Caenorhabditis elegans: one gene and its partners. The protein of the gene in region 3 interacts with the protein of the main gene of each other region in a pairwise test. Each region holds a gene or a part of one and is shown on either strand. Other genes may lie near its edges.

What was found.
Region 1: the proteins of dro-1 (region 3) and ehn-3 interact in a two-hybrid assay, tested with the Caenorhabditis elegans proteins (one large-scale study listed by BioGRID).
Region 2: the proteins of dro-1 (region 3) and xnd-1 interact in a two-hybrid assay, tested with the Caenorhabditis elegans proteins (one large-scale study listed by BioGRID).

Annotation. Positions count from the first base shown.
Region 1 is NC_003282.8:5,415,205-5,423,055, reverse strand, and holds ehn-3 (Zinc finger protein ehn-3), read left to right. Parts: upstream 1-3,833; 5' UTR 3,834-3,860; coding exon 3,861-3,902; intron 3,903-4,134; coding exon 4,135-4,224; intron 4,225-4,593; exon of another isoform or gene 4,594-4,614; intron 4,615-4,887; exon of another isoform or gene 4,888-4,908; intron 4,909-5,001; coding exon 5,002-5,226; intron 5,227-5,569; exon of another isoform or gene 5,570-5,590; intron 5,591-5,620; coding exon 5,621-5,749; intron 5,750-5,797; coding exon 5,798-5,935; intron 5,936-5,985; coding exon 5,986-6,150; 3' UTR 6,151-6,357; downstream 6,358-7,851. Other genes in the region: spp-7 (Saposin B-type domain-containing protein), read left to right, coding at 7,294-7,391. UniProt on the Caenorhabditis elegans protein: Together with the zinc finger protein ztf-16, plays a role in gonadogenesis, specifically in somatic gonad precursor cell development. This is possibly by regulating tra-1 gene expression.
Region 2 is NC_003281.10:5,600,547-5,609,050, forward strand, and holds xnd-1 (X chromosome NonDisjunction factor), read left to right. Parts: upstream 1-3,913; 5' UTR 3,914-3,914; coding exon 3,915-4,287; intron 4,288-4,333; coding exon 4,334-4,523; intron 4,524-4,573; coding exon 4,574-4,665; intron 4,666-4,712; coding exon 4,713-4,914; intron 4,915-5,003; coding exon 5,004-5,250; intron 5,251-5,707; coding exon 5,708-6,046; intron 6,047-6,090; coding exon 6,091-6,672; intron 6,673-6,719; coding exon 6,720-6,803; 3' UTR 6,804-7,010; downstream 7,011-8,504. Other genes in the region: madf-11 (MADF domain-containing protein), read right to left, coding at 57-209, 647-786, 831-1,114, 1,163-1,215, 1,258-1,485, 2,055-2,326, 2,375-2,636, 2,681-2,772 and 1 more; C05D2.8 (DUF7064 domain-containing protein), read right to left, coding at 7,028-7,292, 7,777-7,887, 7,932-8,172.
Region 3 is NC_003281.10:13,339,410-13,345,612, forward strand, and holds dro-1 (Protein Dr1), read left to right. Parts: upstream 1-3,274; coding exon 3,275-3,691; intron 3,692-3,773; coding exon 3,774-3,911; 3' UTR 3,912-4,198; coding exon of another isoform or gene 4,199-4,253; 3' UTR 4,254-4,303; downstream 4,304-6,203. Other genes in the region: F53A2.3 (Phosphoprotein), read right to left, coding at 270-351; nud-1 (Nuclear migration protein nudC), read left to right, coding at 2,121-2,224, 2,272-3,130; ife-1 (eIF-4F 25 kDa subunit), read left to right, coding at 4,199-4,253, 4,415-4,880, 4,927-5,101; acaa-2 (3-ketoacyl-CoA thiolase, mitochondrial), read left to right, coding at 5,550-5,562, 5,633-5,785, 5,836-6,203.

The sequences.
Region 1 (7,851 bases), on a different chromosome or scaffold from region 3:
ACTATTTATACTGTTGTGAGTTACGTAGTTTGGTTGTGTCTTTTTTTTTTGAAATTTAGAAACGTCATATTAATTTTTCAATGGCAATTTTTAATTATTGAAAAAGTTCCAATATATTACTCTAGTGTTCCTTGATAGTTGAAGGCATATTTAAATTTAGTCAAAACAATTTTTTAATTGCACTGCAAACAAATTACGCAACATTGAAAAGTTGCATTTTAACATGTTTCCTCCATAAAAATCTAACAGTTTCGAAGTATTAATATATTTTCGATTTTTTAACAGTCAGTCAATAGTTCGTTATTTCTCAACTTCAAAATTGCCTTCAAAATTGTATTTTATTTTGAAAATTTTTTTAAATGTTTCAATTTTTCTTAAAACTTTTCTAAAAAGTTCATAATTCGTTAATTTGCCCGTTTGAGTATTAACCGGTACATTGCGAAAATTTTAAATCTTTGATAAAAAAACACGCCCTTAAACACATTTCAAACTATTTTTTGACAGTCAAAGTTTTCTTGAAGTTGAAAAATAGTGATAATTTATTTTTTCATAGTTTCGATGGGGCACTTAGTGGGCGGAGCCTATAAAGCCTTGCCCATGTTATAGGCGAAGTTGGAGACCCTTCACTGTGGCCATTCTGTGGAAAATTGAACAATTAATTCTTCAAATTAGTTGGGCGCGGCTATCAAATTTTGAAAAAAAAATTGAAAAAAATTACTGTTTCAAAGTCACATGTTATACTGTAGCATTATGTGGTTGCTATTCCTGTTACTAATTTCAATTGAAATATTTTGTTCTTTTCAATTTCTGGTCATTATGAAAGATAATAGACAGACAAAACAAAAAGAAGGTCCTTCTAATCTAGAAAAATACGACAAAAAAGAGAACATTGAGCCTTGTCAGCAAAGAAGTAAGGGAGAGGCGAGAATGGGAAAATGCGATTTAGGAGAGAAGGAGAAATTATACAATTATTTCAGAAAAGAAGAAGCACAAAAAGAGTGAGACAGACACAAAATGGGGGTGCAGATGGCAAAAAACAACACCAATCTCTGTACAGGAAGAATGAGGAAATGGAACAAAGTTTTTTGTCGGCGGCGCGGGATTTCTCGAATTTTAAATGGGTATTCGGATGTAAAATGATGAGAAAGAGAAAGAAGAACGGAAATTCAATTTACGCATCCGATGAAAATAACAATTTTCAAATTTTGGTTATAGTATTAATGGGTGCCCAGACAATTTTGAGGCTAATTTTTTTATACAGTGTCATGAATTGTAGAACTTTCGTCTGAAATTTCTTTTAAAAATTTGAAAAAATTCAAAAAAACAGGCTCCGCCTTTCTTCCACTTATCTTTTTTTCGATGGATTTTTTCGACTTTTTTTGTACTTTTTTTTAAACATATTTCTGCAATGCCGTGGAGTTAACTGTATATTTTCCGCTAAATCCATTTAATGAAAAATAGTTTTTACATTTTTAAGAACAGTGTGATTACAGTAGTGGTTTTGTACACTTGTTGCGAACTAATTTAGCGTTTAAGGGAATAAAATACCTATTCTTAATTTAAAACATTTCAAAGCATATCCATTAATGCTGTGCTGCTTGGCATTTTAAGAAAAAAATGAAACCGAAAAAAAATTAAACACGGATTCATGAAAATCGATTCTCATGTCGTTTTTTTTTTTGAAAAACTCAAGCAAATTTCTACAATTTCACTCAACGAAAATTTATTAAAAAATTATATTTGTTCCAGTGACGTCATGAAGAACACTATCTAGCGCACGGCACTTTTTGAGCGGAGCCTATGGTTCCCAAGAGGTCCCGCTCCAACAACTTTGTGCAACATTTATAGACCCCGGGAAAAATTTGAATTAAGGGGTAATCCTTTTTTCATTTTTATTTTCATAATTGTGAGCGGATTGTTGGTAAAGCTGCTGTGAAATAGGCGGCTCAAATCGTTAAAGTCAAATTTTAAAAATATTTGAAAGATTTGGAGAAGAAAGTCAATATTCTACCCGCGACGTTTTTTTTGTTTGAAGAACCACTAAACATAAATATGCCCTAGCGTTAAGGAAGTCTATCAAAACTATCAATACTATAGTATACTGTAGTTACAAGGATATTGAAACAGTTAAAGATTTACATCACTAAAACTAATTTCATATCACTTTTGCAGTATCTTGTTTCAACTTAGTATTTATGATTTCTCATTTTTATTATTTAGACTGGTAAGCAGAGAGAAAAAAGCTGGGAATTAGGAAAAAGTAACAACATGAGCAGAGGAAGAAGAAGAGCAACAAGAGCATTAGACAGAATTAGTGATGATGTAGAAGGTACAAGATGAAAAATAGCAAAAAAATAAGTAGAGAATAAAATCAAAACTTTTTCATTTTTCGGTTTTTGGACTACTTTAGAAACTGTAAACAGAGGAAACAGTGGTTTTGTTGGACGTTAAAAACATTTGAATATTTCACATTTAAAATTCCGTTGCAATCAGTTTGAATTTAAAATACATTTAATTTCTAGCTATGTTGAAACTGTGAAATTTTCGGAAAATGCGAAAAAAATGTGACGGATTTTTAAATATTTTATCTAAATCTTCACCGGATAATTTTGGAAATAATACGTTTAGAGGTCGAGCATGATCCCGATTAAAATTAATTAATTGTTAACTGTTTTATGGACTATTTGAAACGTGTTCAATTTGAAAAATGGCATTCATTCTTTCCATCAAACTCATAGTTATTTTTCAGATCTGAAAAAATATCAGAGCCTATTTATCTCGATTGAAAACATTTCTGCCTTTTATAGCTTGATTTTAAGGGTTTGTTGAAACAGTGATATTTTTTTGAAAATAAATGAAAACATTTTCTTGAGTAAGACCTCTCCAGCTATCTTTGGATACTGAATAAATCAGATCTCATACACCAAAAAGCCGATAACTAAAAATATAAATATTATTTCCAGAAGTTTATCACGGAGAATCTTCGATTCCTGACATTAAAATCGAAAGCATTTTCCATTAAAAACTAATATTTTTGCACTCTTCACCTTCTTCCGGCATGTAATCCTATATTACAGACATCCAAGGTAAAAGAGAAAAAACTTGATTTCCTTTTTTCCCTTTTTCTCCAGAAACGTCTTCCAATGTCGTCTTCTTCCTGGACACATTATGCTAATTTATTCGATTTGTGCCATGGTTAATGTATTAGGAAGAAGGAAGAGCATTACGCTATGAACAAAACGCTTTTTTTCGCCACGTGATTTGCGGTTTTGCAGGAGATGGGGGATTCTATTGTTGAAACTAACAAATCCTGAAACTCATAAAATTTTAGTGAATTCATGAATCTGTAAAAATTCTGAATTCTAACAATAATGAAAAGACTTTACAGAGATAAATAAAAACCGAATGAAACATTTAAAATCAGTCAAACAAATGTTTTCTATGAAACAGGAAATTTAATTCTAAAAAAAAAAAAGGATTTTTTTACTCGTACAGTCCAAAGTACTGTAACTGTTCTTAAAATTGACCCCAATTGTAATTTAATATCAATTTGTCCACTATATTTGCTACCTTCTCTTCCAAATCATGAAAGTGACCTCTGACTATATATCACCCCAGTTTGTCACCAACCATCTGGCAAGTAGCGGCAGCCGGCTTATCTGTTATGTCGGAAGATGTGCTTCTTCTCCGACTTGTTAAGATATCTGACACCTAGGATTGTATATTTCCCCCAAATGACCTTCGACAGTACCCGAGAAGTTATAAACAATTTGTGCTCCACCCAAAGTTTGGAATAGAAAATCCTATAGTCACTTTCTGACACTCTCTGACTTTATTCCTCCCAGCTTCCAAATTACAAAATGGAAAAATGCGATATTTGTCACCAGAAGTTTTCCAATAAGGTGAGTGGAGAGTACTAAAGGTTATAGGTAGAAACTAAAGTGCCTACCAGGTTACTTATGGTTTCGTAAACTACTTTCTTGTTTGGCTCTTGAAAAACTGAGACGCAAGACTCAAATCTTTAGAAAATTTCTTTTTAATTATCAATTTACAACATTGTTCAAATCGAAAAGCAACAAAAAACAAGTTACTAAAATCGTAGAAAAATTTTGATTTCCATGTATATTTTTTCAGACAAACTTGAATCGTCATAAGGTGATGCACAGTGGAAAAAAGAAGTTTGAATGTCAGTTCTGCAGAAGACCTTTTTTTCGGAATGATCGGGTTAGTTCTTGTGGTTTTCCGATAAATTTGTATAGAGGATATTTTATTGAAGTTTCTTTATAAAGTTTAGTCGTTTTAGTACAAGCTTTATCTCTAGTGACCAAAAAAATTCACTAAGTAACCTACTTTACGAAAGTTAATTACTTGAAATTATTCCAAACGCTTACAAATAACTCGATTTTTTTGTCGAAACGTTAAAAAAAATGCTAGAAAAAAGCTTCCTAAAAGTTGACTCAATTTATCACTCGTACATCAGATTTAAAGCAGAATGAAACAATCTGTGTTATTGATTTTCAGAAATTGACACAAAAATTTTAATTATGTGTTTCATGATGTTTTTAATAATCACTGAATGCAATTTACGATTACTGGTATCTGTGATTTGCGAATCTGTTCAAAAATAAATGTTTAATGCCAAAGCACTAAAAAATTAAAAGAGAATTAGCACCCAGCATGCCAAATGATGTAGGGGAATTATTTTTCTGTGGATGTGTACTGATACGTTGGCTTTAATTTACTGTTAGCTAGAGAAAATTTAAAAGCTTTGTTTTAAATATTTTTATTGAAAACAAAGTTAAGATTGTTAAAAGTCGTTTACTTTTTCCAGATCTGACCATCAGTTTTTTATATGAAAGTTTCAGTTATGCAAGAAAAGTTGTATTTTCAAATATACTTTGAGAAAGATCGAGCTTTCTAGTAGTATAAAGCATTAAGCATTATTTCTTGAAACATTAAACAGATTAGAAAACAATCTCTTCAACTTTTAATCCAACTCAGATGAAAGAGCACATGATGACCCATATCAAGAAAGGAAATACCTTTGAATGTCCCATCACAGCGTGCAATTCAAAGTTCAACAGCTTCACGAGTTTGCAGTTTCATGTAGATTCGGAGCATATCATAAGAGGATCGTCTCCAGCTAAATGTAAATCTTGCATCAAATGGTTCAACAGTTCCCATCGTCTTCTGCTTCATTTTCATACTGCACACCTGGATCATACGGTGAGTACTTTTTTCTGTGGAAGAATTGAAGCACACACTGTTTTTATTTGGATTTTACATCAGCTACTTGCTTACGAGTAGGTTATAGCTGTGATGTGTTAAGTTTAGCCTACGTTTGATCCGATTCTTGCCGAATGTTGACTAAACTTTTCATTTGAGACTAAAAGTAAAATTTTGAAAACCGTTGGGTCTTGCAATCGAAAATACTTGAAAGCTTCAAAACATTAGAAAAATTGATCTAAAATAGAATTCACTATACTCGAACTTCTCCACATAATTGAATTGAATTTCAAAATACTTTTTCGCTATTTCTACAAAATCTCTACTAAAGTCAGACGTGCACTATGTATAGATTGGATTTTGGTAGATATATATAAATCTCCTTAGTTTTCAGAAATTCTTCTCTTTCAAACCTGCTCCAATTCTTCCAAAATCCACTACTTCAATCTTGAACCCCATCAAGAATCCAGATGATTTTGATAGAATCTTTGACTTTTTCAAAACTGAAATCGCACCACTCTTTGTAAGAAATTTGAAATTGAATTTTCAACTGGTAACATAATATTTTCAGCCGCTTCATAGCACTGTTTCACAAGCCCCATTGCCACAGTGCTCTAGATCTGTAAAATCCGCAAAAGAGTTGTCTCCAACACCATCTACGGAAATCGAAACTCCCGAAGAAGAAGAGTTGGATGGTCCAGAGAGCTGGGTATGTACCTCTGGGAAAAAACGTATTTTGTAAAAAAACAATTATTTCAGTACTGCGATTACTGTAAAATCAGATTCGATGACAAAGTGATGTGGTATTTGCACAGTGGACTCCACTCAGATGATATTCCGTTCAAATGCTCACTTTGTGGAAGCCTATGCGATGGAAAATATGATTTTGCTGCTCATCTCGTTTACGCCAATCATAACTTCTAAAATATAAAAATGTCGATTCTTTTTCAAAGTTATAGCATGGTTCAATTTATTGTTAAGTACCAGCATCAATCTTATCAATAATGTTCCTCATCTTCTGTTGGGATGTTTTAAAATACTTAACTCTGTTCTTGTGTGAATTAATTGTTACATTTGTTTCTGTTAATTGTTTTATATATTTGAAAGTTAGAAATATGATTTTCTCAATTATGGTAGTTGATTTTATTTCTGAAAACTTCAAAAGATTTACTAAAAATTATTGATATGCGAATTTTGCAAAAGTTATGCTGATTATTTTTATCTTCAGGAGAGCAGTTTTAAGGAGGAAATGCCAAGAGTTTTAGATTAAGAAATTTCAAATTTCTACCAACAGATTTTAAAACATTACTCCTGATTTTAGGACAATGAAGATTTTCGCATTTTAAAAGCCTAATTAAAAAAAAACGGCGAGATCAATTTTTCTAGTATAAAATGCTCCTCTGAAGATAATTTTCACAAAGTGTCCAATTAAAAAAGTCATCTCTAGGAGTGATAACACTTTGAATTTCCGAGATTTATTGAAAACTTTATTACATCTCCAACATTAATAATAAAACAAATTAAGAAAAAAGTATTTTACAGTTTTCTAAAGTTTGATGTATTTATAGAGTTTTGCTCTTGAAATATTATTCACAATTTTGCCTCTTTTATAAAAATATCAACAAAAAAATTCTCAAAATTCTCAAGCTAATATCCCATCTGAGACATGAAAAAAGTGATCTTAAGCACGATTCGATTGTCTCCAAACCCTTTGTTCATCATTTTCGTTCAATTATAATAGTACACATACAGTAGGAGGTAGTGGCGAAATAAGGCAATCGAGAGGAAGGATCACAAGTGTGCAAACGATGCTCTCAACTCGGGTGCTCAAATTCGCACATCTCGAGTGTCTGCGTCTCTTCATCTCGCACGCTCTTTCGGCGCTTCTCTTACCAAATACAGTGCTTGAGGTGCGAAATATAGAGAACATAGACGTCTTCTTCTTCTTGTCTTTATTTTGGGCTCCCGGGTAGCTCCTCCTATTTTCAATTGTTTCTGTTTCACTCATTGAATTTCAATAATAATAATAAGTTCCGTTTTCACCGGATCTCAAACTCTCTTCTTAAAATGAGAATTAATTTATTTTTCGTTTTTGCCGTGTTAGGTCAGCAATTTCAAGTCACTTTTACATATTTTTGGAACGAAGAACCAGTTGTCAGAGAGAGGTGAGTTTATTTTGATTAAAAATGATCAATTTTCAAATAATTTCACTAAATATCAAATTGTTGAAACTGTACATTTTGTATTTAGGTTTTTTTGAATGAGTAACATTTTTAAAAAGTTTATGCGAGTGTCACTTTTTTTCCATGTTTTCAAAGAAAATCAACGAACTTGAGAAACCCTCCTTTCAAGAGCAATTTCAAATTTTCAGTGCATCTGTGCATCCCCTACTATTTTTCAAAAATTACAATAATAATATGGATATCTTGAAAGAAAAAATTCAAACTCAAAAAATTTTCCATAATTAATTGATACAACTAAACTTTCTAGTTGATTCTTAACACAGAGCACCTGACTGCTGACACATAATAACGAAAGAAAGTTAAAGCATGTGATATATCACATAGTGAATAACTAGATATATAAAATTCTTGATACTGTGCATTTTTATTAATTTTTTCTCTC
Region 2 (8,504 bases), 7.7 Mb from region 3:
AAAAAAAGAAAAAAACAAATTAAATATTACAGAAGCATTGTACGTCAAATTAATGTCTAAATCTCTTCAGGAACTTCGTGATTCGGATCAATTTCCACGTGTGACTCTACCTCCAGCATCTCATCGTGTTTAAGCATATTTCGGGCTGTGCCTAAGCCAAATCTTGCGTCGAGTATAATTTTTTGCATGTTGAATTTCATCACGGATTTCTGAAAATAGATTTTTTTAATATTTCGAAAGTTAAATATTGATGTTGAAGTTTGCCTGGTGATTTTTCAATGGGAACTTCAATGATTTTTAGGCTGATTTATTACAAATATTGAACATAATTTGATTTTTTTTGTTTTAGCTCATTTTTTAAAACAATTTTTCCTGTGTAACTCAAGACTTGAATCCAGGATTATTTCAAGTTTGCTTGTATTTTTTTCTTTTTGGAAAATTTCACTTTTTTCTGAGAAATTCGATTTTTGTCCACAATTTTCAATGTTTTTTCTCAAAATTTAAATTTTGTAAGCAAATGACATTTCTTCCTATAAAAAATTTTTTATATCCAAATTCGAATTTTTGTATAAAACTCCAATTTATTAATGAAAAATCGAATTTTTAAAACTCTTCCGCGTAAATTTTGTTAAAAACCAAAAATTACCTCATCATCAGATAACCTGTTCAAGACACTATTGATATGTTGTTGAAATGCGAGATCTTCATCATATTGTATCGCCATTTCATCAGAAGGTCCTCCAACCACCACTTGCTGCTCAATATCATCTCCAACACCCCCATCATCTGAAAATTCATTCAATATTCATATTTTTCCAGCGAAAAATTACCAATATCTTGATGATGATAATGATCCATTGAAGTTGATGGCATATCCATTTCATGATTTTGTGAACTTGATTGTTGAGATTCCAGAAGCATTCCAGAACCTATTTTACACTCTCCATCAGCTTCTAAAATAATCTCATCGTCGGCAATTGGGACTCCATCGGTTAGAATTTCTTTGGGTAGACACGGGGCATTTGATGAGGTTGATACACCGACCATTTCACTATTTCGATGACCCACTTCCAAGTGTATTTTCTTTTTTGGTGGTTCCGATGGCATATTTGAACTGAAATGTTTTATTAAGTGAAGTTTAAGAAGTAAAAAAAAAACTCACGAATCTATAAGTTCTGGCATCGAATCATAAACCAGGGAGTTTGTTCGGTGAGGCTGAAAATTTAATTCTTATTTAAATAAATTATTTTTTCCTACCATATGTACCAATCTTCTAGATGAAGCCACTGTAACTGCAGGTTGCGGCGTTGCACTTCTATGCGCGGAGACCATTTTGTAAATTTTCGTATTCGATTGAGCATAGGAGGGTGATGGTTCCACCTCCACCAATACACCTTGTCGTCCAAACGGATTAACTTCCTTTTTGACTTCATTCATTTGATGTTGTTGGTCTGGATTATTCTTCTGTGGCATACGATGCTGTTGCTGGAATGAAAAAAAATCAAAAAATTGTTATCGGACTACGAGCTCATCAACTACAACACGGCGAATGAGCAGATACTGCAGATATTGGTATTGCTTCATTAGTCGCGCACACAATGCAAGTTACAAAGTGTAATGCACCATGAAGCGGGGTCGAACTTGTGGACTGTTGCTTTGCAGACGAGAGTGTTAGCCAGTAGGCCACCCGTGCATCACCGCAAGCGAGGCCGGTAAGGGGTTTTTGAATGCTTGCCTTTGCTATTACCCAGACGTGAAATTTGCGATTTTTGCGCCAAACATACGGTACCAGGTCTCGACATGACTAATTTTTGTTAAATACAATAAAGTGTGCGTCTTTAAAGAGTACTGTAATTTCAAATTTTTGTTGAAAAGCTATGAAAATCGATGAAAATTCCGTAGCAACAAAAGTTTGGAATTACAGTATTCCTTAAAGGCGCGCATCTTGTCGTATTTAACAAAAATTGTTGTGACGAGACCGGTTATCTCATAGTCAGCAAAAATCGGAAAAATTAGGGTCTGAGTAGTAATTACTTCATCGTTTTTGCACTTACCACTATCCGCTTCGGCGATAATGGATAAGTTCGAACAATTGCCTCTGTTTCTCTTGATTGTGGTGATTTTCGACGGGAATATGAAGATGTGGGAATTTGTTGATGTGGCCTAACATGAGGCTGAATAACCACATAATCGAACTTCATGGATTCAGAATTTCCGAGACTTTGTCCGGGTTCTAATACATCTTCTGCCAGCGGAACGTCATTATAGAAATCCTTATCCAGTCCGGAGGACATTGCGGTGAGCTGTGAAGGAGGTCGAGAGTCTGCTGAAAATATAAATGATTTTGGTGTATTTCTTTGCAAGAAACTCTTACATTTCTTCTTAAAAATCAATGAATCTGTCCATCGCATTGCCTCAATTAGTCCATCGGACATATCAATCGATTTTCTAGCATATTGATCGAGAAGATCCGACCAGACTTCCTGAACAAGAGTGATGTCCTGCCAAACTATATCAGCACGTATCCGATCCCATGCTTCTCGTTTCTGAACCTTCAACTGAGCATCCGGCGTGGCGGCTTGCATCTCCTCATCGTAGAGAATCGGATTTTCTCGAACCATATTGATTAGTTGAAGCTGAAAATTTGAAAATTTTGAATTTTAAACGTTTTCCAGCTTACAAGTGTGTATTGCGTAGTTTTTACGGGTGGATCTTCCCTGGAAAATTGTTGTTGGAGGTCTCCAGCACCACCGTGGGAGCTTGAGGCGACACCTGGAAAAATTATTGGAAATTCTGAATCTATGAATATCGATTTACTTGTCATTGAATGCTTGAGACCGGCGATTTGATAATCCTCTGTTCCGTGCCGCCGTCGGTCGCTCATTGGAAATTTTTAATAATAATTCTGAAATTTATTTTCTTCTCAAATTCTCGCAAGTTTCTCAAGCATTTCTAGCTGCGTTGCGTGGCGATTCCTTCCCGAATTCGAGTTTCATATCAATCTACGATCCATTGAACCCAATAACCCGATTGGCAAGAAGATGATCGTACACACTCATTCACATAGGTGATAGACGTGCTACAGACCGTGGGAGACTCGAACGGGTAGTAGGGCGGAGCCGGGAACCGCGACGCAACCGAAACGCTTCAGAAACCGCAACGGAACAGGCATGCGAAGCGGTCAAGATTCGAAAAAGAAAACGGAGCGAACAGGCAGAAAAACATCGATAGATAGGCGCGCGTGGCCGAGAAGGAGGCGAGACGAGACATCTAGGCCATCGATGGTTTCTCTGCGTCTCTCAAGTGAGTAAATAAATGGTTTTGAGAGGGTAAAATGAAGAAAAAGGATTGATCGAAATTTAAAAACTTAGTCTAGGAAAGGAAAACAAAGCAGGGGAAATCTGAAACAAAACATATAAAAACACACATTTTAACTATTTTTCAGAGTTAAACAAATATAATCTAACAAGAATTCAACTTCAAAGTGAAGATTTCCAGAAACGAAAATGGTTATGTGATTTAAAAATGTGATTTGTTCAAGGAATTACAAGAAAACTCTGGTTTAACATTTGAAGAAAATCCATATTGCGAAAAATGAATTTTAAAAGAATTATTGACGGTTTTGAAATGTGAAATTTTCAATAAATTTCGAAAAATAGATAACTTTTTTTAAATAAAGAAAAACAACGAAAAAATATTTCAGTGGTTACGGTAAACAAGCATAAGAGTGTTTGCGTACTGCGGACCAAAATCTTCGCGAGACCTCGGGTACTGTAGAAAATTTAGGTATTTTTAAAACTTTATTTTTCTATTAATTTCCCTTCTTTCTCATTGGGATTTTCTAGTTTTCTGGTAAATAAAAACAGTTTAAATTTAAATTTAAAAATTTTATCTCCATATTTTTTGTTTCCAGGATGTCTTCTGAACCCATTGTTGCCAATCTAGACAATTCCATGACGACAGAGCCTGCACCCGCAGCTTTTCCACCAATATCCCCAATGTCATTTGCTTTTATGAATGAAGAAGAACGAGCAGCGGTCAAGTTTCCAAAAGTTGATCCAAAACCGCAAACTGCTAAAGATGATGAACCTTCCACATCCCAGAAAACGTTGAGCGTCGATGATCTTCTGATAGTCGACGACGACGACGAAACTGATTCACCACCGGCATCTTCTAGTAATTATGAACCTAAAGCTCATATTGGATGGGCTTCATTCGGAGATTCCTGTCTCCCACCTCCACCAAAGCCAGTTAAAAAAGCTACGGATCCAAATTTGCCACGAAGAAGTTTGTTTGCAAATGGTCCTCTGTTAAATAAAAATATTGTTTTCAGAAGTCTACGTCATTCGTTCTCAGAATACAGACAAGTCGAAGTCCCCGTTAGTTGTTAATAACCAACAAGTAACACTCGAAAAGGCACAAAATTCTCCAAAAAATCCGAATCCTGTTGTATCTAAGCCAATAGTGCTTACAGACTCTGATGAGGATGTGGACGTTGTTGGATTCGACGAAGAGGAGGAAGCGTTAGTTTTTAAAAAGTTTTTTATTAAACAAAACAATCACCCGTCTTCAGAATTAAAATTATGGCCGACCCTACACGCCCACCAGATCTTCCACCACAGCGATCTCTGATATCCAGATTTGAGTCGAATCGAACCAAAAGAGGTATTTTCCATGAAAATTTGATTTTTTAAAGCTCATTTTCTCTTCAGATATCTTCCGAAACAGTTATGATTCTGATGAGGAGGAATTTCTGCGATCTCGGTACCAGCGAGCTGTCACACCGCCGCCAATTCTCGAGCGACAAAGTGGAAGTACTCGGGAGTCTGTAAGCGAACCAAGTGAAGGGAAAATTCTCGAGGAAGACGCAACGCTTGGAAGTGAACATACGGAAAGAGTCGGAAAACGAATTGAGTAAGTTGAATTTCGGGTTTTTGAAAACCTTGACTTCCAAAATAATGACAATTTGTTTAATAAGTCCTGCTAAAAAGCAAATTTTCCAGATTGGAGGAAATCAATCCATCACAGCTTCTACGAACCAAAATTTCGGCGAGCGCAATTCCAATCCTTCCACTCTCCAAATCGATAATGGAACGTAAAAAAGTAGCTCTGGAGATGACGAAAAACGCCGTGATCAGACAAGCGAATAACTTCCGTCCAAAAGCCAAAAACAGTACCGTGGCTCCAAAAAGTGTCCAAATTCCTGCATATAATCATAAAACTCCTATGACGTTCTACTCGAATATGGCGGTAAATTATATATTTTTGGAAAACCCTAAAGTGGAACTTCAATATTTCGAATTTTCCTGCATTATCATTAACAAAAAAACTTTTCAGCAATTACTAGTGTTTTTCATCCAATAATTATATTATTTCATTCCCTGTTTTCATCATAAGCAAAAAATATTTTCATCTAATGGTTGCACAAAATGGTAAATTTTTTGAAGAACTACAGTAACCCAACTCCAGTTTCTCTCAATAAATTAAAAAAATCTTGGCGAAAAATAAGAAAGTTCAGCGACATTGAAAAGAAGAGGAGAAGGGTTACTGTAGTTCTAAAAGGCGCTTACATTTTTGCGCCGGGATGATTGGAGATAATTGTTCGTGGTGCGACCGTAGTTCTTCCTAAAATTTTGCCACTGGCTAGTACTTTACAAAATCAAATTATTTGTGGCGAGACCTACAACGAACAATTTTCAAAATTCAGGCCCCCGCCTTCGTCAAAGGAGTCAATGGAAGATGTTATCGTTGCGCCGAAATTCAAAAGCCTGTGGATATGAGCTCCTTCCGATTCGTCGACGATTCTACCGTTATTGCCATCCGTGCTCATCTTTGCGATCAGACACGCGTCATGGTAGCTAGAACAGCAATTTGGAATCGAGAATACGCGAAACGACTCGGCGATCGAGCTGCTGGAACTGTTTGGCAGAAACCGGACGAGGTGTCGGCTCAGATGACCGGATTTTGCAGTGCGACGGTTCGTAGATGTATTGAGATTGCCAATATGTCTATCATTCCAAAGTGTGCTGATCGTGTTGGTGTTTCGGTAAGTTTCAAAGAACAAAGAAGATTTAATCTAACTTTTTTCAGAGAAACGAACTGACCTCCCTGAAGTCTTCTTTCGGATCCGAGAAGTTTTGTGGGCAGACCATGCGAGCTCCACATGTACTCACTCAGTTCTACTCAGTTAATCAGGCATCGATGGCTCGTAATAGGGAAGGTTCTGATGGTCCTTCTTCCTCAGCAGCAAGACCGGTTGGAAGACCACCCACTACGCAACCAGTAGAAACTGCAGTGGAGAAAAAGAAGAATGATGAAGATGAGAAAAGACATCATCCACTCACAAACTTCACAACAGCATCCACGTCTTCCCAAAATCTGCAAGATCAACCACCACCCAAGAATACCGTTCTCCGCTGGTCAAATATCACAACTCCGAGGATTCTTCGTCCACCAACTCTCAAAACTCCCTACTCGCTTCCCAGGACTGCAGTGATTCCGGTGATGAAGAAGAAGCAGCCCGAAATAGAGCAAGTTCAGCCGAAGAAGGACACGACGGCAAGCCTTGTTCGCAAAAGAGGCCGCCCGAGAAAGGAGAAGCCTCTGGAGGTGCAGTCTCCTCGCAAGGGACTATATCTTCGCTTCAAATCGTGCACAAAGTATATTGTTCGGGTAAGAGAACTGAACAATTTGAAAACTTGAAATATTTGGTTTTACAGACTCCAATTGACAAAAGTGTCCAAGAAACGGTGAACTATCTACTGGATGAGGTTGACAAAAGGGCTTCAACTTCTGCTACGTAGCTGCTACAATCTCTGTTCTTTTGTTTTTGTTTTCTCGTTCTAAATGTTTTGTTGTCTCATGTTTTTAGTTCTTCGGAACTTGTTATCCCCTCCCAGTGTTTTATTATTTTTTGTACATTTTACTGTTGCTCTGTTCTGCACGTTGACCCCACATTTGTTAGTAGCATATGAAACGGTTTTATAAAGTAAGTGGAAAAGGTAGAAAATCTGAATTTGATAATTTTTTAATACGGCTGAATACGATACTCGACTTCCGCGAATCCCCATCCCGGCTTTCCGTCGACAACGAATTCGCTCATTCCTTCGGTGACCTGACATGCTTGATCCAATCCCATTTTGAATGAGACGGCTTCCTTGATATGAACATCTGCGTGATGAATCTTGCCGTCAACTTCGAACGAGTAGTGGAAATCATCAGGGAAATGACGATCCTCTCCGTGGTTTGGAAGGGAGAAGTGTACACGATCCACTGGCTTCGTCTCACCAGTTCTGAAAAAAAAAATTTAGGTTCTGCCCATTAAGGAAATTACTAGAATCTTTTGCGAGAATACGGTACTCGGTCTCGAAACGACTTAAAGGACACTTATAATGATCCAAAACGACGAAAAATCATAATAAAACACTCCAAAAATGTTTATATTTTTCGTAAGCTTTCGCAAATTGCCAAAATATTGAAAAATAGGAGCTATTGAGAAAATCTAAAGCAATGTTGCATACCCCTACAATGTGTTAATACGAATAGTTAAAACAAAATTAAAGTATTAAAAAATGTGATAAAAAAACAATTTTTTGGGGTGACTTCGAAAATTATAAGTGGAAAAACTGAGTAATTGTCACTTTTTGACATATTCCGTGAATTGAATTCCACGGTTTCAAAACGCTGTGAATGTGTGGTGTCTCTCGCAGAAAAATTCAAATGCGCCCTGTTGAGCCATTTTATGTGTTTTCTTGGAGCGTAGATGCATCAACCCACGGTGTAACAATATATCCAAATTCAAGGTGACTAAAAACAGTTTCTGGCATTGAAATAACCGAAGTATGAACACATGTACCATCTTCCAAATGGTAAATCATCATGATATATCTGGAAATTTAGTCAATCTACGATGCAAACAAGTTCCACTTTACCTTCGAATGTCTGACCATCTGCGGTATCCAGCAATCGTGTGATCTCTCATGCTCGTCATTCGAATTCCAGAAGCAGTGTGATTTCCAATTCGAAAATCTCCAGAAATCGTTCCAAATTGTTCATAGTGTGACTGATGGGATGCTCGCATTTTATCGAAGAGTCCACGGCTCCATGGCTCAATTGCTAAAGAATGAGCAATTGCAGTGGGGGAGCACATCTTGTCGAAATCGAATTGATTTCCTGGAAATAGAAAATAAAGTAAAAAGACGTGCGAGGCCAATAAGCGGGCGAGGCTTGAGATTTCACAAAAGCGTGGGTGGCGCCATCGAAGATTTCTTGTAGTCACCAAAAAAGCAGGACACTTACCGCGAAGCTCACCCGCGGAAAAGATTCTTTGAATTTTGGCTATCGCGGAAGAAAAAATATTTTCTCTGTAGGAGGTGTGCACAAACAATTGACATTGAATTTCAGGACATAACCCTAAATTGCTTGCCCCCTTTCCAGAACGTTCGCTCTGCGGTAGATTACATTCCCTAGGAAGTGCTAACCAGCTCTTAAGAATATTTATCCGT
Region 3 (6,203 bases):
TTTTGGAATTTTTCTGGTTAAAATTTGTTTAATTTTTTTTTGGCAAAAAAGGATTTTTTTTTGTTTTTTAAGCAAAAAAGGAGTTTGTGGTTTTTTTGACAAAAAACTATTTTTTTTTTTTGGTTTTTTGCCAAAAGATTTCTTGCTAAAAATAAAATTATTTGGTATATTTTGTTCATTTGACAGGAATTAATTTTTTAATTTAAAAAAATGAACATCATTTTTTTGAGATTCGCTATTAAAAATTAAAATATACAAAAAAAACCAACCGTAATTCAATGAATTATTCAAAGTTTCTTTGCACTCCTCCAACTTTGCCAAAACGTCCAGAATAGTTTCTCGGGAAGCCATTGTCTCCTAAAAAATAGGTTAAGTATTATTATGAAACTGTATATAATTCCAGTAAAATCTATGATATTTTATTTTTGAGCAATATGTAGAAAAATGCACCTCTGCTAAACTAAACATTAAACATAAACTAAACGAACATTATCATTGAATATCGAAAAAGTGTATTCAATTTTTTCAGATATTACAATTTTCAACTACAACCGGACCATGTGGAAATTTGCGCGGAAAGAAAAGGAGAATGTGTCCCGCAGGGGTAAGAGTCATTGGTTTCGTTGAAATCACGTTGAGTGGGTGTACCATCTGTTGGGGAAATTCTCTCCCCCTGGTCCGGTTCTGACATAATCTAGATTTTTCGAGAAAATCAAGTTTCAGTACATACTAAATTTAAAAAAGAAGCTAATAAATTAATGAGAAACTATGCAATCAGCTTTTTAAATAGTCTATCGAAAACGGTTTACTGGTGTTTTCTTTCTTCTGTTTTTCAATATTCTATTACATTAAATGTTCCTATAAACTAATATTACATAGACGTTTTGAAAATGGAGAAATTCGCCATACTTGACGCGCAAGGTCTCGCAGTGAATGCTCTTTCTCTCCGTCTCTTCGCCACATACTCTCTCACTGCCGCACCGCTTTTTTTTCAATAAAACAGGGTAAATTTAGTGAATTGATTTGAAACTCTATCTGTATTTAAAATAATAATAATTATTATTAAATTATTATTAAAAAAAGTGTGTCAACATCTATTTTAATTATGTTAACTACTAAACATAAATAAAATGCGTATTTTTTTGCAAGAAAGAAAAAAAGGCCGCGTAAAAAGGGAGACACAAATAGTGTTCTAACTAGATTCTCAACGCGATGCGTAGTCTAATATGAACGCAGACATACAAACAAAAACGAGAGGTGACCTCGTTTCCAATCTAATTAGCCATGCTAGCGTGTACTGAAGTGTCGAACGTCTAATTAGAAAAAAGCAATTAAGCATACGTAATGGCTTTTCTGTCTTTTTTGGAATAATTTGTAAATGGAAAAGTGAACTTAATCAATATTTAAGTTGGATTTATTATCAATAGAAAGTTTCAAAATGGAAAAGGTCTCGAAAAATCCAATTTCTAAGCGTGTGCATTTTTCTCTTTGATTAGCACCATCTGTTCTTCAATTAGACCCGTTTTTCTCTTTAACGGGAGAAATAGTAATGCACTAGGTAACTTATTGCTTTTTTTTTCTGAAAATTACTTTGAATTCAAATTTGAATTTTTAAATTTCAAATCAAACTACTGTAGCATCGAGTTTCGCGTCAGCACGAGAGTTGCGCCAGTCGCCGCGCCAAGGCGCCTAGAAAAAACGGCGCTCGCAATTTATTTTCAATTTTACACATTTTCTCTCCTAATTTATCGATTTTGCGGGATTTCGCACAGATTTTCTTTGATTTTTCAACTATTCTCATTGTCCCAGAAATATAATTGAGCATTATGAGCCACCTGCTTTCCCCAGGCACTTGCAGTATCCATGGGAACATGGCGAAAATAGGATTTACCAGAAATTTCGAAATAACTCAATTTTTCTAGTGATATTTGTCAAAATAAATGGTTTTCTAGTTTGTAAAATAAGTTTTTAACTAGATTAAGTAGAATTTGTCCTGTAATTATTGCGAAATAACTATGTTTCTTGATTTTAGGCTCTATTTTCAATAATTCCGGATTTCCTAATGTTTTTCTTCGTTTTGGAAGTAGTTTTTATTAATTAATATATTTAAATTTCAGAAAATGTCTCAATATGAGCGATTCGACTCGGTGCTGCTCTCCATGGCCCAACAGCTGAGCGGCGGAGTGCCTGAAATGCTTGATGTACTATTTGAATTTCTTTCGAGGTAAGAAATTTTTTCAAAGTGCTTAATAAATACATGTTTTGTTTCAGAAAGACGGATTTCTACAGTGGCGCTGGTGTCGATCAAGCCCGGACCCTTCTCCTCGAAAAATTCGATAAACACGGTGGAAAGGCTATGAAGGAAGCTGAAGAAGCCAAGAAACGGAAGGAAGAGCAGGAGAGGAAGCTTGCTGAACGAAGAGCTGCACAAAAAGCTAAGGAAGAGGAAGAGTTCCGAAATGCGAAAGTCGTGGAAGTCACTGATGAGGAAGCGGCCGCGTTTGAAAAGGAACAGGCTAAAAATTCTGTTGAAAATCTTGAAAAATTCGTCGATAACGAAGGAGAAACATCGAAAGACGCTGAAGTCGAAGATGAGGACAGTAAGCTCATGAAACCAAATAGTGGAAATGGTGCGGATCTTGCCAAATATCAATGGACTCAAACACTCCAAGAACTCGAGGTGAAGATTCCAATTGCTGCTGGATTTGCTATCAAATCTCGTGACGTTGTCGTCAAAATAGAGAAGACTTCAGTATCTGTCGGCCTGAAGAATCAAGCTCCGATTGTCGATGGAAAGTTGCCTCACGCCATTAAAGTAGAAAATTGCAACTGGGTAATCGAAAACGGGAAAGCGATTGTCCTAACTCTCGAGAAGATCAATGATATGGAATGGTGGAATCGATTCCTTGATTCCGATCCTCCAATCAATACTAAGGAAGTGAAGCCAGAGAACTCGAAATTGAGCGACTTGGATGGAGAGACACGTGCCATGGTCGAAAAGATGATGTATGATCAGAGGCAGAAGGAGATGGGTCTTCCAACGTCTGATGAGAAGAAAAAGCATGATATGCTGCAACAGTTCATGAAACAGCATCCTGAAATGGACTTCAGCAATGCTAAAATTGGATAATTCTGTGAATTTTGTGAGATTTGTTCCGAAAATATTATATTTATATTCGCATAAATGTACTCAGTTTGATATTAATTTTATTTCATCTTTAAACTTTTAATAATGTATTTCTCATTCCTTATATCTCTTTTAGATCCCTTAAAAATGCAGTGCTTCAACACAATTTTCAGACTCTTCACAGATATGGATGAGGACAATGAAATCGGACTTCCACAGAAAGGTATCAACCAAATTATCAAAGAAGTTGTTCCTGAAATGCGAATCGCCAACGAGTCGAGAGATATGATCAATGCTTGCTGCGTTGAGTTCGTGAAGCATATTGCGAGAGAAGCACAACGAATTGCGAGCCAGGATCAGAGAAAAACAATATATCACGAACATGTTCAGAAGGCACTGCAGAATTTAGGATTCACACCAGATTATCTCGAGGCCGCCGACAGTGTTCTCGATGCCTGCAAGGTTGAAGCCGAGAAGAAGCTGCGAAGGAAGAACTCTCGTCTTGAAAAATGTGGTATTCCAGAGGAAAAATTGTACGAAATGCAACAAGAATTAATTCAGAAGGTAATTTTTTGAGGTTTTCAAAAATAATTTTGTTTTTATAAAACAAACACTCATTTCCTCAATGTTAATATTTATTTTACAGGCACGCCAACAAGAAATTGAGCAGCAGCTTGCTCACCAACAAGCACAAGCCGCGGCGGTAGCAGCCGCAAACGCACAAATGTTTGGAGGACCATCAGAGGGCTCTTTGGCTCCAACCGACGATGACTACGACAACTAGATTGTTTTTCTTCGCTTTTTTTTTCTACGGGTTCTCATTTTATTTCTTCATTTGTGTATTTACCTTGATTCATCATCGATAATTTCTAAATCTCTTTTTAAAATTGTTGTACTATATTCCACCATTTCCTATTTTCCCCGTGAATTTTTTTACTGACCCGCTCCATATTTCAATGGCACGTCATTTAGGGCACGATTAGTTGGCGTTTTCCCCAGTTGTTCTCGGCTTCTCAGATCAGTCCTGTTTTTGCCTTGCCAGTTGTCGAGGTGCGAAAATTTTAAGCGCAAATGTCAGATTCTGAAATAGCATTTGAGAAGCTGAAAATCTCTGGGGAGAAAGAAGGTGAGCCATTCCCTTTTTCATTATCGTTTGAGTACTATAAATTATTCACAAAAAAACTGTTTCTCGCCGTTTTGCATCACTTTTTTGGTTCCACGTGCCCATTTTTATTTGCATTCATTTATTCTCTCTGTTTACTGATTTTACTAATCGAGTTCTTCCAGGTATGACTGAAACGGAGCAAACGACGGCACCCATTTATCCGCTGAAGCGTAACTGGACGTGGTGGTATTTGAACGATGAGCGCAACAAGTCTTGGGAGGATCGTCTGAAGAAGGTGTACACCTTCAACACCGTCTCGGAGTTCTGGGCTCTCTACGATGCTATCCGTCCACCAAGTGGCCTCAACGCGTTGTGCGATTACAACGTTTTCCGTGACGATATTCAGCCGATGTGGGAGGTTCCGGAAAACTCGAACGGAGGACGCTGGCTCATCGTCATTGACAAGGGAAAGACTCCCGAAATGGTCGATGCTATTTGGCTGGAGATTCTCATGGCTTTGGTCGGCGAGCAATTCGGAAAGGACATGGAGTCGATTTGTGGGTTGGTGTGCAACGTCAGAGGAAAAGGATCGAAGATCAGCGTCTGGACTAAGGATTGCAACGATGATGAAACCAACATGAGGATTGGGTATGCATGTCTATTTTTAATTCTATCTTGAATTTTGGAATTTCAGAGTTGTGCTGAAGGAGAAGCTGATGGCCGCATCCAAGGACCACTCAAAGCCACTGTTCGATGTGATCCGCTACGAAGATCATGAGAGCTGCCAGAAGAAGACCAGCTCGGTTGTGAAAGCCAAGCTTTCATTGCACTCGTCCGATGCTCCAGTCGCCGAGAAATCCGCCGTCTAAAGCAGACCATTTTGTATCTGCTCTACTTGTTTTTTAATTACACCCGTTGCTTGGCTAGTATTTCACTCGTTGTTTTGTGATTGGTTTAATAAAATTGATGAAAATTAATTGTATTATATTGCCTTGTGGTTTCCAGGCCCAATTTTGTATCTTATTGTAGTGTAGAATGTAGCCTTTAGGTCAGAGAACAAGTAGCGGGAATGATGATAAAAAAGACACCGCGAAAGTCGGCCATTCTGCTTCTTTTTCGTCTCTGCGTCTCTTCTCTACCTATCTTATCGGCCCAACAAACAACCGAAAAACTTTATTTTTGTTCAAAAGCCCCTCTCAAAATAATTATGCAGTTTTCTAAATGCCCTTTTTTTTAGGTTTTTTCACCTCTTCCTAATAATTTGTTACTACTTATAAGAACGTTTTTATTTACAGAACCACACAAATACACTGCAAAATGGCAGGAAAATGTGAGTGGGGGTCAAAGTCCATGGTCGTTGTACTAATAAGTGATCAGTGATGTTTATATTATGTCTGCAGGTGTGTTCATCGTCGGTGCCAAGCGTACAGCATTCGGAACTTTTGGTGGAAAGCTGAAAGGATTGAGTGCAACTGATTTGGGAGTCGTCGCTTCTCAAGCAGCGCTGAAGCACGCTAATGTTGGAGCAGATGCCGTCGATCATGTCATCTTTGGTAGAAAGATTTTATTTTTAGAATGATTTAAAGAAAACCTCTAATTTCAGGAAACGTGGTTGCCAGCTCTCGTGATGGAATTTACCTGAGTCGTCACATTGGACTCAAATCTGGAGTTCCACAAAACGTCGGGGCCCTCACTGTCAACCGTCTCTGTGGTTCGGGATTCCAAGCAGTCGTGAATGCAGCTCAAGCTATCAAGCTCGGCGAGTCCAACATTGTTCTTGCCGGAGGAACCGAAAACATGTCAATGGTGCCATTCGCTGTTCGAGATATTCGTTTCGGAACTGCACTTGGAAAGAAGTACGAATTCGAAGATATGCTCTGGGATTCTCTCAGCGATCCGTATGCCAAGTTAGCCATGGGACAGACTGCAGAGAAGTTGGGCGCACAATACAAAGTTACCAGACAAGAAGCC